2 linked regions of the Astyanax mexicanus genome follow. The protein of the gene in region 2 interacts with the protein of the main gene of each other region in a pairwise test. Links are inferred from orthologs where the notes say so. Each region holds a gene or a part of one and is shown on either strand. Other genes may lie near its edges.

The links. The genes of interacting proteins can lie anywhere in the genome.
Region 1: the proteins of psma1 (region 2) and UBX domain-containing protein 11-like interact in binary tests that used the Homo sapiens proteins (3 or more experiments, as listed by UniProt). The two-hybrid records come from large-scale screens. The link is inferred for Astyanax mexicanus from reciprocal best matches to the Homo sapiens genes PSMA1 and UBXN11.

Annotation. Positions count from the first base shown.
Region 1 is NC_064408.1:128,134,077-128,141,875, reverse strand, and holds the start of UBX domain-containing protein 11-like, read right to left. Parts: upstream 3,161-7,799; 5' UTR 3,010-3,160; intron 2,926-3,009; 5' UTR 2,888-2,925; intron 982-2,887; 5' UTR 887-981; coding exon 862-886; intron 1-861. UniProt on the Homo sapiens protein: May be involved in the reorganization of actin cytoskeleton mediated by RND1, RND2 and RND3. Promotes RHOA activation mediated by GNA12 and GNA13.
Region 2 is NC_064417.1:10,653,876-10,663,093, reverse strand, and holds the start of psma1 (proteasome subunit alpha type-1), read right to left. Parts: upstream 3,790-9,218; 5' UTR 3,702-3,789; coding exon 3,699-3,701; intron 2,291-3,698; coding exon 2,246-2,290; intron 2,161-2,245; coding exon 2,059-2,160; intron 894-2,058; coding exon 790-893; intron 433-789; coding exon 344-432; intron 1-343. UniProt on the Homo sapiens protein: Component of the 20S core proteasome complex involved in the proteolytic degradation of most intracellular proteins. This complex plays numerous essential roles within the cell by associating with different regulatory particles.

The sequences.
Region 1 (7,799 bases), on a different chromosome or scaffold from region 2:
ATCTATCATATATCATCTATCTATTTGTAACCAGTTGGACCCAGCCAGCATATAGTCTATGTACACTGAGCAACACATTATACACAACTATATTAACTTGCTCTTATAGCCTACAACACTGAGACCAGGCAGTTAACCAATGAAACACATATATGCAAATTCCAGGACAAGGCAGTCCGTGGGGAATGACTACACACTGATGATGTGTGAGAGATGGTAGGACACGCCCAATGTGCAAATAGTGTGACCAACATCCAGGTGAAAACCCCTGCAGAATTGCTCTGTAGACCCCGTTCACCTAAAGAGTCGAACTGAGCATGTGCAGTAGTGCAGTAATGCAAAGTAGTTGGCTTGACCTCAACTAGGGTTCAACTGCAATTTGTAAATTCTATCAAAACAGATTATTTATTCAGATCTACTTTTAACAAGAAATTTAATAAAGTTGGTTTAGGTAATTCGTTTTCTATAGTTTACAGTGCAATTCAATATTTTTGGTTCAGCTGAATCACATTAAGGAGAATTTTTTAAGTTTTGCTTTTTTTTACAGTGAACTAATAATAATCTTTTTTTTATATATAGGACCTTTTCAAAAAAAGGTTTTAAGTGCAAGATAATACGAAATAAATAAGCTAGTGTAAAAATAATACAATAGTCTCTTTAACCACATGGTTCTGCTAATTCCCCCTCTCTTTCCGCAATATTTTGTAGGAGTACTCATGCCTCAAACCATGCGTAAATATACTCTTGATCTCTTGGCAAGTATTTCTTATAAATCCTGGTTCCTGTGTGAGAAGTTGCGCAAGCACATTCCAGAGAATCCAGGACCTTTAAATCAGCAGCAATGCTAACGTTTCAGCTCACCTTCTTTAGGGCTCCTTCGCTGCATGACCTTTACCTTTGACCTCAGTGATGTAAGGTTCCCCGTGGTTTCTGGCTTTGGCTGATCCTGAGGAAAAAGCTCTCCAAGCAGCAGAGCTTCATCTAATCCATCCAAACACAAACATCATCCACTTAAATATCATCTCAAATTATTGACGTGTTCACATTTCTACAGGAAAATGGTCCAAATATCTACAACATTACAGTTTCTTTGATTTTACCAAATTAAAATCCTCTGGAATATAATCAAGAGGAAGATGGATGATCACAAGCCATCAAACCACCAAACTGAACTGCTTGAATTTTTACACCAGGAGTAAAGCAGCATAAAGTTATCCAAAAGCAGTGTGTAAGACTGGTGGAGGAGAACATGATGCCAAGATGCATGAAAAAAAAAAAACTGTGATTAAAAACCAGGGTTATTCCAACAAATATTGATTTCTGAACTCTTACAACTTTATGAATATGAACTTGTTTTCTTTGCATTATTTGAGGTCTGAAAGCTCTGCATCTTTTTTTGTTATTTCAGACATTTCTCATTTTCTGTAAATAAATGCTCTAAATTTCCAGAGTTGTATATCCATATATGTATCCCCATCTCTCAGTGAAGTTATAATATGGGCTGCTTTAGGTATGAGGACCGGTGCAGCTAATTTTTACATATTAAGGTTACATATAAGGTTTCTATTTTCAGTAGTTAATGGTAGCTATCATGGTGGATATTAAGGATCTTAAGGTTTTAAGGAAACATGCAAAGTTCAAATACTGTCTTTTGTTGTCAGCAGGGCTAAAGCCAGTCATTTATAACTAGAACTGTGCAGTACGTCACAGAAATCTGTGTGGGTGTGGCCTCTGACTCCGCCTGCTGCTCGTTCCCAACACTAACTCCACCCCTGAGGTTGCCAGAAACCAGCTTTTGACACTTTACTGAACATCCTGTACATTTGCACTCCTGGACACTTTTGATACTTGATGTTGGGTGATGTGGATCAGCACAAGGCTGCATCTGTGAGCTGATGTATCAGAACCGAGTCGCTGCGCTTTTCTCCGAGCGTTAGCGCTGTGATGCTTCTCAGTAATGCTGCATCAGCAGCAGTTCAAAAAGAGAGTATGGTGTCAAAGTAGGGTCAAAAGTTTTGAGAAGCAGTATTTTTAGTATATCTCTTTGCTTTTAGTATTTTTTTTTCTTGGTTTTGTTTTTGGTTTAGTTTTGATCCTGTTTTTACAGGTGGGTGGGGACTAGTCAGAAAAGGGTAAAACACAAAATGCAATATTAAACTCTCTATTTAATAAAGAGTATTAAATATTCTGTTTACAAACATGATTTTAAAATTTATAATATCAATTATTGTCCTTTTTTATTTCATTATTTTTAGTTATGGATTATACTTTTGGTTCTCAAAACTTTTGACCCGATTTTGACCCCATAAGAGAGAGTCTGACTTCTAGTCTTCACCTTCCTGGTGTTGGGGGATCACTAGTGATCCTTGGCCTTGTAAATTGGTGAGAAAATGGGATAAAAAAAAAGTCATGGGTGAGAAATGTAATGATTTTGGTCTGATTTTAGCTGAATCCACCCTCAGCTCAAATAAAAAAAGCTAAACAAAATGGAAGGAGGAGGAGTTTGGGAGGGGCACTGAGTGATGTATGGGTTTAGCAGGAGGGAGAGCTCATTGGCTGAGCTGCAGCAGCAGTAGTGTGCCTCTAATAGCTGTAAGACGTAGATGATTGGATGTCAGTGGGGGCAGTATTATTGGTTGACTGATTTGCATATTGTAAGTATTCGTGTATTAAAATACACGGACACATCATCTTCGCCTATAGCACAGCTGAACCCAAAGGGGGCGCAGCAGAGGCGGAAATGACCAGAATAAAAGAGTTTTTTTTTTTAAAGGTTAGGAAATGTTTCGGTTATTTTTTAAACAGGACTGGTATGTTTTATTACTTCAAAGGAAAGTATTTCAAATATAAATAAAAATAGAAATATGATTTAGGGTTTAGTGCCTACCTGTGTGGGTTTCCTCCTTGTAGATGAGCCTCTCACTGCTACAGAAAGAGAATAAATCATTTTATTTTCAATAAAATGTTTGTTGTGATAAGATACACCTGTATAAATGAGGTAAAGCTCACCTGTGCTGATCCTCTGCAGGTATTAGAGGAGCTCTCCTGTGTTTCTTCAGTGTGGACAGAGCTGAACTAATTTCTGTTGATATTTATATACATTAAATTAACTGACTGTGTTTAATATAGCGAGTTATCTGTAATAAAAGCTGTAATAAAGCAGATATAGTGAAATACATGTAATATATCTGTAATATATATGAGCTGCTGAAGTTTCTGAGCTCTCCTCTCTGTTTGTTTGTATATGGGGTAGTCAGTGGTAACCGGGCTCGCCTGCAGTGTGGAACTGTTCCTGTAGGGGGCGCCAGCGCATCATTCAAAATTTACACCAGGGTTTAAAGGTCAAACGTTTGGACCCACCTTAAATGCAGTGTTTTATCATTATTTTACAAACTATAATAAAAAAAAAACATCTGGAATTATTTACTAAACCAAAAAAATGTTAAACAACCCAGAATATAATAATATATTACATTCTTAGATAATCAGTTTTGCACATCTCTGCTGGATTTTACCTGGAATTCAGGCTTTCAGTTAACAGCTGTGCTGAACTCATCTCAAAGTGTTTGAGAGCATCAGTTAAAGTAAAGTAGTGAAGAGGTAGAGTTACAGGTATACAGTGAATAGTGAATATTTGAGTAATGTTCTAATCCAGATTATGAGAAGCAACATCTACTCAACTAAATACATAAAAAAATACTTTAAGAAAAAATAAAGTGTTTATGTAGGTGTCTGTTTTATATTTATTCATACTTAAAATGGCAAATTAAAAACAGGACAGGTCTCTTTTTATATAGAAATTACTACTACTACTACTAATAATAATAATAATAGAAAAGAATAATACAATAATAATACAAATAATACAACTATAAATAATACCCAATATATTGACGCTTAAAAAATGGTAAAAATAATCTTAAAACAAACAGAAATAGAGATATGAATCAGTTAATTAACAATTAGATAAAAAAAATAAATTAAATGAATAAAAGTGATTAACACGCACTTTCACTCACACACACACACACTCTCATTTTTACACACACATACACATACACACACACACACACACACACACACATACACATACACACATACACATACACATACTCATACACACACACACACAAACACTCTCTCTCTCTCTCTCTTTCACACACACACTCACTCACTCACTCACTCACTCACACTCTCTCTCTCTCTCTTTCACACACACACACACACTCTCTCTCTCTCTTTCACACACACACTCACTCACTCACTCACTCACTCACTCACACTCTCTCTCTCTCTCTTTCACACACACACTCACTCACTCACTCACTCACACTCTCTCTCTCTCTCTTTCACACACACACTCACTCACTCACTCACTCACTCACACTCTCTCTCTCTTTCACACACACACTCACTCACTCACTCACTCACTCACACTCTCTCTCTCTCTCTTTCACACACACACTCACTCACTCACTCACTCACTCACTCACACTCTCTCTCTTTCACACACACACTCACTCACTCACTCACTCACTCACACACTCTCTCTTTCACACACACTCACTCACTCACTCACTCACACTCTCTCTCTCTCTCTTTCACACACACACTCACTCACTCACTCACTCACTCACACTCTCTCTCTCTTTCACACACACACTCACTCACTCACTCACTCACTCACACTCTCTCTCTCTCTCTTTCACACACACACTCACTCACTCACTCACTCACTCACTCACACACTCTCTCTTTCACACACACTCACTCACTCACTCACTCACACTCTCTCTCTCTCTCTTTCACACACACACTCACTCACTCACTCACTCACTCACACTCTCTCTCTCTTTCACACACACACTCACTCACTCACTCACTCACTCACACTCTCTCTCTCTCTCTTTCACACACACACTCACTCACTCACTCACTCACTCACTCACACTCTCTCTCTTTCACACACACTCACTCACTCACTCACTCACACTCTCTCTCTCTCTCTTTCACACACACACTCACTCACTCACTCACTCACTCACACTCTCTCTCTCTCTTTCACACACACACACACACTCTCTCTCTCTCTCTTTCACACACACACACACACTCTCTCTCTCTCTCTTTCACACACACACACAAACACTCTCTCTCTCTCTTTCACACACACACTCACTCACTCACTCACTCACACTCTCTCTCTCTCTCTTTCACACACACACTCACTCACTCACTCACTCACTCACTCACACTCTCTCTCTCTCTTTCACACACACACACACACTCTCTCTCTCTCTCTTTCACACACACACACTCACTCACTCACTCACTCACACTCTCTCTCTTTCACACACACACACACACACACACACTCTCTCTCTCTCTCTCTTTCACACACACACACACAAACACTCTCTCTCTCTTTCACACACACACTCACTCACTCACTCACTCACACTCTCTCTCTTTCACACACACACACACACACACACACTCTCTCTCTCTCTCTCTTTCACACACACACACACAAACACTCTCTCTCTCTTTCACACACACACTCACTCACTCACTCACTCACACTCTCTCTCTTTCACACACACACACACACACACACACTCTCTCTCTCTCTCTCTTTCACACACACACACACAAACACTCTCTCTCTCTTTCACACACACACTCACTCACTCACTCACTCACACTCTCTCTCTCTATCACACACACACTCACTCATACACACACTCTCTCTTTCACACACACACACACACACAAACACTCTATCTCTCTTTCACACACACTCACACACTCACACACACACAAACACTCTATCTCTCTTTCACACACACTCACACACTCACACACACACAAACACTCTATCTCTCTTTCACACACACACACACACTCACTCACACTCTCTCTCTCTCTCTTTCACACACACACACACTCACTCACACTCTCTCTCTCTCTCTTTCACACACACACTCACACACTCACACACATTAACACACTCACTTTCACACACACACACACACACACACACAGGCTCCTCCCCTTCCTCCAGACTCCTCCCCCGGAGCGGCGGCGGTTCGGCGGAAGATGCTGAGGGAAAAAGCGCCGCTGGTGAGTTTTTATAACCCCGCTCCCCGACCCGCTTCAGCCCGGCCCGGTCCGGCTCCCAGCCGCGGTACCGCTGCCAGCCGCCGCTCTCACCCCCCACACTCCCTCACACCCCTCACACACACCCCGCGCTCAGAAACATCCAGAACATAACCCCGCGGTCCCCCCGCGTTAACACTTCCCATAGACTTCCACTAGCGCCGCGGCTAACGAGCTAACAGGCTAACACTTCCCATAGACTTCCACTAGCGCCGCGGCTAACGAGCTAACAGGCTAACACTTCCCATAGACTTCCACTAGCGCCGCGGCTAACGAGCTAACAGGCTAACACTGGCACTCACCCGGGGATCCGGAGAGGCACTTACGAGGTTTTAACGCGATATTGACCAAGTTAAATCGATTAATGTGATAATTAGGCGACTGTTTTTAATATCCTGGCTTTTTATTTGCTTTAGAGATACATTAATCTCTAAAACACAACCTGTTGTTGTTAGCCTGCCGGCTAACCCACTGCTAACAGGCTAATATTCTGTGTTTTCGCGATTAGCTCACACTGGCCACTTTATTGGAAACACCTCACCAAACCCATCTACCTACTATCTTGTCAGGGGCCACTTTATTAGAAACACCCCGCCGTACTCGTCTACCTGCTATCCTGTCAGTGGCCACTTTATTAGAAACACTCTACACACTGTCTTGTTGGTGGCCACTTTATTAGAAACACCATACCTACTATATTGTCAGAGGCCACTTTATTAGAAACACCATACCTACTGTATTGTCAGTGGCCACTTTAGTGGAAACACCAGCTGGTTTTAAGGTCTAACGTTGGAAGAAGAGTCACTATATGGGTGAAAGTTCATTGTTTTTTCTGCATATTTTTTCTTTTGAAAACAAGAGTATTAAAGAGTTTATAGTCTCTACTGTTCAGAGAAGACTTTCTAGTAAATATTTTAGAACATTGCTGTGAGGATTTGATTGAAATGAATGTCAGGAATGTAAGGTCAGGATGTTGGATGATGATCACCAACCCCACCTCATACATCCCCCACTTCCTCAACTCATCCTATACTAGTTGTCCACAATACTGGGGACTTTATACCCCTAGTATCTCACGTCTCGCGTTAGACATGGGTTTTGTTTGTCTGTTTGCAGTACTTCTCTTCTACAGGAACTTAGACAAGCTGTGTTTGTGCATTTGAACACCTGTGTCAGCAACAGGTGACAATAGATAGTTGTAAATAGAAATGCTTTTAGGCTAATCTGTGGTTCGCTCTGCAACACTAACCAGTTTTTCTTGCTATTGGCAAAAAATCTATACTCAGGTTGTGCAATAACCTCGCTGTGGTTGCTTTATTAGAAACACCTTTACTTGTTCTTCCACTCAGTTGCCACTGGATCGGAAATAGGGCTGCAACGATTAGTCGATACAATTGACAAAATGTTGATTATTTAAATTTAAATCAATTACAAATTTCATTATAGATTAATCGTTAATTCGTATAAGTACTGCATTACACAAAGTGGTTAGGACAGAAGCGCAATACGAGATAAGCCATTTCCGGACGGGATTAGTTTCTCAGGGGGTTCTGGGATATTTTTCTCTTTTATGTGGGTCCTCTGTGATTTTATTCCTGTCCAGAACGATCATGTACGTGTTTTTCCTCTGAGAAAATTAC
Region 2 (9,218 bases):
ATGTTTTTAAAAACTGTTAAAAGATTGTTTTTTTTTCTGCTTAACATTTGCAGAACTGAGTAGTAATCAGGCCAATTCACGAGAGGAAACAAGGAAAGCAGACCTTAATTGAATTAATGTTAACACAGACATCACTTGATATACTGCATTTTACACTTATATTGGCTGCTTGCCATATTTAAAATTATGCTACAGAACATCTGAAGTTAAATGTAAAAAAGATTTTTCAGACATTATAAACATGTGATGTCAAATGTAAATATGATGTAACAGTTATAATTAACCAAAATATAATCAAAAACTAAGAAGTGTACTAAAAAAAATCAGTGAAAGTAAAGGATGCTGCTCCCGATGAGCGAGACGAGGCGAGATACTGGAAGAGGCCTGTCAAAGACAAATCTGGAGTCCAGACACTCCTGACGCATGAAGTTGCTAGGGAGCAAAATGAGACATTATCAGCCATTATTAATTAAATGTTACATTTTTCTCTTACTCGAAATGTACATTTCATTTAAGCTTTCACCACTGATTTCATCCTAACTTACACTCTTGAACCCTTTTAAAACAGTAAACATGAAAATAGTCCTGCGTTTCAGCGATCTTGAAATCTGACCAATGCTTATCCCATTTACACACATATGCCATCTCTAGCCTGAATATTATATTAGTACTGAAACGGAACAACTAAGAAGTGAAACAGTATTTAAATGTTACAATTCACACAGATCTGCAGAAATATAAACTATAAAATACTTAAACAACAACAACACTCGTGAAAACTGTTCCTACCACAGCAACCGGGCATCAGCGGTCAGTCCAGCGATAGAAATGCCAATGTGGTTATCAACATGGAGAATTTTCTTCTGATGGGCTGCTAATTCAGACTGTGCTCTCTAAAACAAAAAATAAAAACACACTTTAATATTTACGTGCTTTACATGAATAAACTAGAAGAACAGAAGAATGAAGAAGAATTTCAAACTAATAGGACATGAGTTTATAGTTAGGTCATACAGCCCCATGAGGAAAACACAGCACGAGTAACATATTTTTTTAATGTATACCATGATTAATAAGTGTAATACAAAAAAGTTCACACAAAAATTTATTTGCTGCTCTTTTAAAAGGTTTCATTCCAATGGTTTCTTATTCATTTTTGGTCTCTAGTATAAATGAATACAATGCGAGATGTTTTTTGTGGAAAAAAAATGGTCGGGTGTTTTTGTACAGCCCTGCTTTATTTCAATGAATTTGTGGTCTCTTAAGAAAGACAGGATTATGGCTCTTGCTCATGAATATTCATACATGCAAATATATATTGCTAGCAGCACTGCAGCAGAGAACACAACCTGCCTTCCCCCTAAAGTCAATTTTACAGCTCTAAAACTCAAAAGACAAATGTTTTCAGAGATACATATTTAGCTGTAAAGGTATAGCACTGTGAGCTAGAGTCAAAATAAATGTTATCAATGCTGCAGGGCGAGCGGATGCTGCCTGCCGCGGCCAAGCGGCTATGATTAGGTGCTTGGGCAGTTTTACTACGTCTTAGTCAGAGTCAGCTGGATATCATAGAATCTGATGGAATGGCGCGTGCTTTGACCGGTGTTCTGTCGAGTTGTGTTGCCTTGTCAAACCATGCTTCCCAAGTGTATATTAAAGGTCTCATTATAGTTAGTTACACAAGATAGCTAACATTATCTAGCTGGTGTAAACAGAGCTGTAAGCCCTTTAGCTAACATTGTTGGCTCTGTCTGTGGGCGGTCCCGACCCAAGGTGGGCGAGGCCATGAACTCATGAGTTGACGTAGACTTGTTTTCCTGAATTTATTTTTTGTCTTTCTTTAAAGCATTTGTGTTTTCACGTCATCATAAATCCCTTCTGCTGAACACTCACTGACATTGTAAACAGTGAAACAGCTTCAGGTCATTAAGCTAATTGTAAGTGGTAGAGGGAGCACTTTAATTGATGTTTAAAAAGCATCCCTTTCTCACTGGTCACATGTCAAATAAGATTTCTCTTAACTCCGACTCATTTTTTAACAAACACAAGGCTTAATACCTTTAAAGCTACCAGAACAGCATGAGAGCGTGACTTGAGCCCCACAGTGGCAGATCCCTGCTTCACCGCCTCCATCGCATACTCGATCTGATGGATCCGCCCCTAAAAAACAACACATGCAATAAGGTATGATACCTCACACTTTATAAAAAAAATTAGTAAAAATTGTTAGAAAATACATTTTTACCTGAGGACTCCAAACTGTGACATCATTGTCATACTGGTTTCGAAACTGAGGGGGAAAAAAGATGACAAATTACATTACAGTATGCAGTGCTGAGGATACTGTTGATAGTGTCTGTTTAATGAACGACTGCTTGTTACATGACAAACTGAATTAGAGATGTTTAACTTAATTTATTCCATTGTGTTGTGATTAGTTTTTCCTGCTTCAATTTACTAATCCTGGAAATTCACTGTTAAATAATCCAAGCATGATGTTACTGTTTTTTTGTTTAGCCTATAACATTCCCCTACAGCTGGATGCTAAAATCTTATTAATTCACATTGAGGAGAAAGGTAATTCTAATGAATTCTAAAGTAGTATCAGAACTCAAGCCACTTGATGTACCAATAGGGTAATCAAAGCAAAACGTTAAATTCATTTTAACAGCTCTACTTGTAGGTAGGTCTAATAGACATAAAAGAACAGTGCAAATAGAACAGTAGGTCTTAAACTATGTGGCAGGTTCTTTAAATGATGGTGTGACAATAGATGTGAGAGATGGAGTTGGAGAACTATTCATTCCTCATTACCAGACCTAATTGATTTTCTTAATCTACCTCAATGATTCAACAGCTGGTATAAAGCATTCACAAAACAAGCTAGAAGAACTGCAACCTCCTGAACATCCGGTTATAAATAAGTAATCAATTCATTAATTAATTTGTAATTAATTAATAAGTAAAGGATTTAATCTGTTTAGGGGTCCAGTATTAATAATGGGTGAATAAGTGTTAAGGAGGGTTAAGGATCTTGCCAGTTTAATCAGTGTATGAATGATCAAGCATCATTGTTTAAGGTCGAAAGTGAAAGCAGTTAGATGTAATTACGGGTGGTCAGCAAACCTGTCGAATAAACCAGATTAACATCTGAAATCTGAAGACGGTAAATGGAATAAACGGATGTGAGAAACATGTTAGCTACATTAGTTTTATATTAAGAGAGTAAATAAGCAAAGACAGCTAAAACATCAGGAAGTTTCTGTTAGCTAGTTAGCTTTAGCCATCTTAGTCATTCAGCATTACTCTAGAGCCTGATTTGTTTAGCTAGCCAGCTACAAATCCTGATTTAATAATCAGCCACGAGCATATAACATCTCAATAACGATAAAAACTAAAATATACTGCAAATAATCACAGCAGCACAAAGCTACTAAACTAGCCCATCTAACATTACACAGCATAATCTAAACTAACATAGGCTAAGCTAAGCTAGGCTAGGCTAGGCTAGGCTAGGCTACCCCGCTGTAAACGCTTACTCACGGTCCCGATGGTTTATTATTAAATAACTATTTAAACTAAACAATCCCGATTATTCTCCCCGTATTTAATCTTACTGACTACAGCCCGAGCTCAGCCCGAAACCAGAGCGCAGAATTCCCTCTAAAACCTCTCTTTAATTCTGTTTCTCTTCTCACCATCTCCGCGCTGCAGCTCTCTCTCAGCTCCGCTCGGCTCTGCTCTTCAGACCAAACCAGAGGATCCCAGAGTCACTGATTTACACAGGAGAGAGGGAAATTACTCTCTAAGATCGACATATAGTTATATATATAGTTATGTGTTGTATATTTTTTTGACCCTTTATTTGACCACAAGGACACATTTATATTAATAATATATATATATATATGAAAAAAATGCGGGAAAACCCTTACACCAAACGTCTGTTTATACAGATCTAAATAACTGTAACTTATATACACTTTAATAAATTTATAACTGATTAAAAATACGATTTTTCCATGCAATTTTAAAGCTTTTATTTGAATCCCATTGTCTTTTTTTTTTTTTTTTGTTTTATTTTAGTTTATTACTACTGCCACTATTGTTATAATTAAATAATGTGCAGGAGTAAATCAATTGTTTTAAACGGGGCTGTTTAAATGCTTTAGAAAATGACCCTCTGCGTTATTATTACTGCAAAAGACCTGGATTAATAACACAGACATCATTAAATTATCTCGGATTTTATAGCAGCACTCTTAATAAGTTTTCATAATAATCCACCTTATAAATGTTGTAGATTTTAAGTAAAGTCAATAACGTTATAAGCATGTGTTACAGAATAGAAACAACGCTTCTTATGAGTTCGCATAGTGAAATTAGTCGAATATTTCCCTTAAAAAATGTCGAGGTTTAGGTGCTGTAGTCACACAATATACGTATGAACTACAAATCCCACAGTGCTGCGCAGCGCTTCACCGGATGTTGTTACTGTCCAGGTGTACATACCTTGCATTGCAGCAGATCAGCTTTTCAGCAAGTCATTAGTTATTCAGTAATTTTCACCTGATTGCAGCGTTTATATGTTCCAGAAAAACCCGTATCTGAGCCACTTTGCTCCCTCCTGCAGTCTCCATGTGTGTGTACGAGCCTGAATTTGGCCTTTCATTTAAATTAATCAGTCCACCTTAAATGGTACAGTAATCAGATTACGGCGCCCGAGAAACTAGCATGTAACTGCTGCACTATTTAAGGTGGAACGGATCAATTAGATAAGCAGTAAACTTTATCTAGCTCAGTTTGTCTCTTGTTTACAGTAACCCAGCCTCGCTTTCTTTTAAGTAGTATAACAAGTTAACCCTGCTAAGGCTGCTTTAGCACTTTACCCGTGTAACATAATCCAAAAAAGGCCTTTTTAACGCACTTGTTCGTCTTGTTTAGCAGTAGTTATGATGCCGTAATCGTGTTCATTCCCACTACAGTAGGATTATACCAGCTACTAGTTAGTTAGCTGAGTACTCAGCTGTCATCTTCTGTTCTTTTAGACTGATATATATACACTGTAGGTGATGCAGAACAGTTATGCAGAGAGTGAATATCTGAGGCGATTTACGATTAGTCAAGACCATAGATAAATCACTCTCGTCTCGGTTGTTTCTCTTTAATTCCTCCATGTAACACCGCAAGGTTACATTACTGATTATATATTTTATAAATGTAGTATTTTAATTTCTTTTTCTGGTGCGCACCATCTGTATTAGCTTTTCTCCCTTTATTCTCTGACTTCTCACCTCCTGCTTCACCTGTGTGGCTCCGCGCTCTCGCATCTGCACAGATCTGATTGTCAGAGGAGAGTGTTTGCTTATCTTACAGCACATGTGATTGGTCTGTAAGTTTACTGCGCTGTAAAGCATGTAAACCGTAAAGAAAATAAACGTTCCACCACTTTAAATGAACACTGTCTGTCAGAATTAAATCTTTCTTAGTAGTTTATCGGTTTGGGTCCGGACTGGACAAAGCATGGGTCCGCCTATTAGGGACCTCTGTCCTAAAGTACTCATTGAACATACACATTCTAAGAGACAAATGAAACACTCATATCACTAATTGAGTTTTATTAAAAAAAAATCTTTCAGGGGTGTTTCTGCAAAAGAGGATAGCTACCTTAATACAGCAATATTATTTGATATGTACATTAAATGAATATTTAATATAAGTCTTACTATAGCATTTTTTCATACTCCAGTTGTTATATTTTTGGCTTAATCCTTTTTTCTATAGGAGCTTGTACTGTATATCCAGCTCCAGTGTTCTTTTGTACAATGCTCGTACAGTGTCTGTTCCAACCTTTAAAAAGAGATTTTCATTATTCATTTGTGGGAGATGTATTCATGAACATACAAAAACACATAAATTATAACTGACTGTGTTGATTCACCTCAGAGGTCACCCTACTACGCCTGCATGTGGAGGGTCCAGGTTGGAAGGAATGCTCTGTTTGTTCTGTGTAATGTATGTTCTGTGTATTCAGTAGGACATAAATGCATTAGCTATTTCAATACAAATAACACTGAATTTGTAGTTGACCATTTTACCTCTGAAGGCCTCTCAGAGCACCCAGAGATAGTATCCTCATCATGGTCATCTCCATCATGATCCTGATCAGAAGCAGCATCCTGATTGGTAATCGGGCAAATTGGATTCTTTGAAACATTTACAACAGTCCTTTATAAATCACTGGTTGTTTGGACCAGCAATCAACCGTGCCCAAATTTTTAAAAAATTGTTTAATTTAAATTTTATTTAAAGAATTACTGCACACTTTCTATAAATCCTACAAACTTCATTTTACTTCTCAAATATCACTATGTTCATCTTCTATATGATATACTTAACTGAAATTGCAGATCTGAACCAACAATGATTTATAAAGAAAAATCATAAAACTTTTTAGGGTGCCCAAAATGTTTTTATATGGTTCAGGTCCATTGGAACACACAAGGTTCTCCACTAATGGAAAGGTGGTGATCCATGGAGAACACACACACACACACACATAAGAGGTCTTCTTCAGATCGCACTTAGTCTGGAACCTCCCCCTCGACCGTACCGCCATGGGTGACCCTACCAGGAACCAAAGTTACAGCCGGCATCGCTCTCAGGTTCATTGGAACACACAAGATTCCCCACCAACGGCAAGGTGGCGATCCATGTTGAACACACATTCACACACATACACATTTATACATACAGACATACAAATACACATACAGATACAAAAACATTAACATACTTACAGAAACACATTCATACATCATAAAAACACATGCAGACATGCATACATATGCATTCGCACACAATCACTCATACTTACATGCACATACACAAAAACACACATACAGAAATATATACGCACACACACATGCATATACACACAATTTAAAACACACATACATACCAAACACATTTGTGCACATACATATACACAGAAACACACATAAATACATGCATATACATACAAAAACACATGCACACATACACACGCACATACGTATGCAAACACACATACGTACACACATGCACATAAGAGGTCTTTTTTGGATCGCACTTAGTCTGGAACCTCCCCCTCGACCGTACCGCCATGGGTGACCCTACCAGGAACCTAAGTTCCAGACGGCATCGCTCTCAGGTTCATTGGAACACACAAGATTCTCCACCAACGGCAAGGTGGCGATCCATGGAGAACACACATTCACACCCATTCATAATATCACATACACACATAAATACATACATACATACACACACATTCACACACACACACACACACACACACACACATACATACCCATTCACACACACACACACACATACACACACACACACATTCATACGGACACATTCATACACGTGCAAATACACATAGACACAAAAACACATGCAGACATGAATACACATGCATACACATACAAACACACATACTTACATGAACTTACACATACAAACACATGCACATACATTCAGACATATATACACATACATACACACAATTTCAAACACTTAAAACCATACACAAACATACAATTTCAAACACACATATACATACATACATACATACACACAGAAACAAAAACACACATACTTACATACATACAACTATGCACATAAAGACAAAAACATTTGTGTGTATATGTGTTTGAAATTGTGTACGTGTGTTTGTGTATGTATATGTTTAAAACTGTGTGTATGTATGTGTATGTGTGTGTGTATGTGAGTGTATTACTGTGTGTGTATTTCTATGTGTATCCTATTCCTCTATCTCTATATCTATGTAAGTAACGCAACTGTGGTTAAATCTAGAGCTCCGCCCATTCCCTTCTATACACTCCCACTCATTTACATGAAACTACACGAGAACCATAAACTCCTACAGCTAACAACTACGCTGCTGTGGCCATTTACCATCCAATCAGCAACATTTATCCCAAAAATGAAACACCCACCCTTCCCTTCTCCCACTGATACACTGATCCTTCACTACGCCACAAGCTCTTCACAGGGGTCATCCGCTGAGGACCTCCCTTCATAAGCGTTACGCTGAACACCTCAGGAAGACTCAGCAGTGAATTCTGGCATCCCAGACTCACCTCCCTCCAAGCTCACGACACGACATAGATCACAGAATATTACCCACAACCTCCAGACCACTACTGTGTGCCTCAGCCCATTTACCAAAATTCTAACCCTGCAATGTATGTCTGTGTATGTATGTGTTTATGTATGTGTTTGTGTATGTATGTACAGCTCTACAGCCAGATCCTCTACAGATCACCTTTTCAGCTCTTTCTTGCTTTCCACCTGAAGCAGCTGAGCAGGTGCTGTAGCCATCCTCTCTGCATGAAAATAAATAAAAAAACAAAGAACTAAGTAAGACATGGTGTAAAAAAGCATTAACACAGACATTGCATATACATGCACAAACATAACAGTACAACAAAAGAGCAGATTTTTATGATTTATATGCTGATCCTTTTGCTTTAATTAACACTGAAATCTAACCTTTCTGTTTGGAGCTGTCTCTCCTGGCCTGTGATGCTCCAACTCCAGGACCTCCACGTCGTTCTCCAGGTCGTCCTTGTCCTACAAGAGACAGAGACAGAGACACAGAAATGAAGGGGAACTGTTGTACACCTTTACTGTTGTAGAGAATTTACTAATAATTTCACTGCATAATGCTTGTCAAATATTTATATAATTTTATACGTAATATATTGTAAAATGCTTATCAATATTGCCGTGACTGCAAGAATTATGTCTAAAGTGTTTTGGACTAAATTATACCATGAATTAACATAATTATTATTAAATGAGATAAACAGTAAATGTGATATACAGTGAATCTTCTATAGCTGACAGCAGGATTTAGTCCAAACTCTTACCTGTGCAGCTGGCACTGGCTCCAATTCAGGCTTTGTGTCCTGAAGTTCCAGCCGGTGAGAGGGATCTGCCTCTTCTACCTGCACCAGGACTCGGCGAGGAGACCTGAAACGACACACAAAGGAGGTCCGAAAGTTGGTGACAGGGCGTTTCAGGGATCTGCGCTGTGTATTAGTGGTGGGTGACAGTGCAGTGTCTCCCTGGCTGGATGGCTCCGGATGAGAGGTGGTGGTGAAGTCTGGAGCTGGAGCTTCTTTGCACTGTCAATGACAAAAACA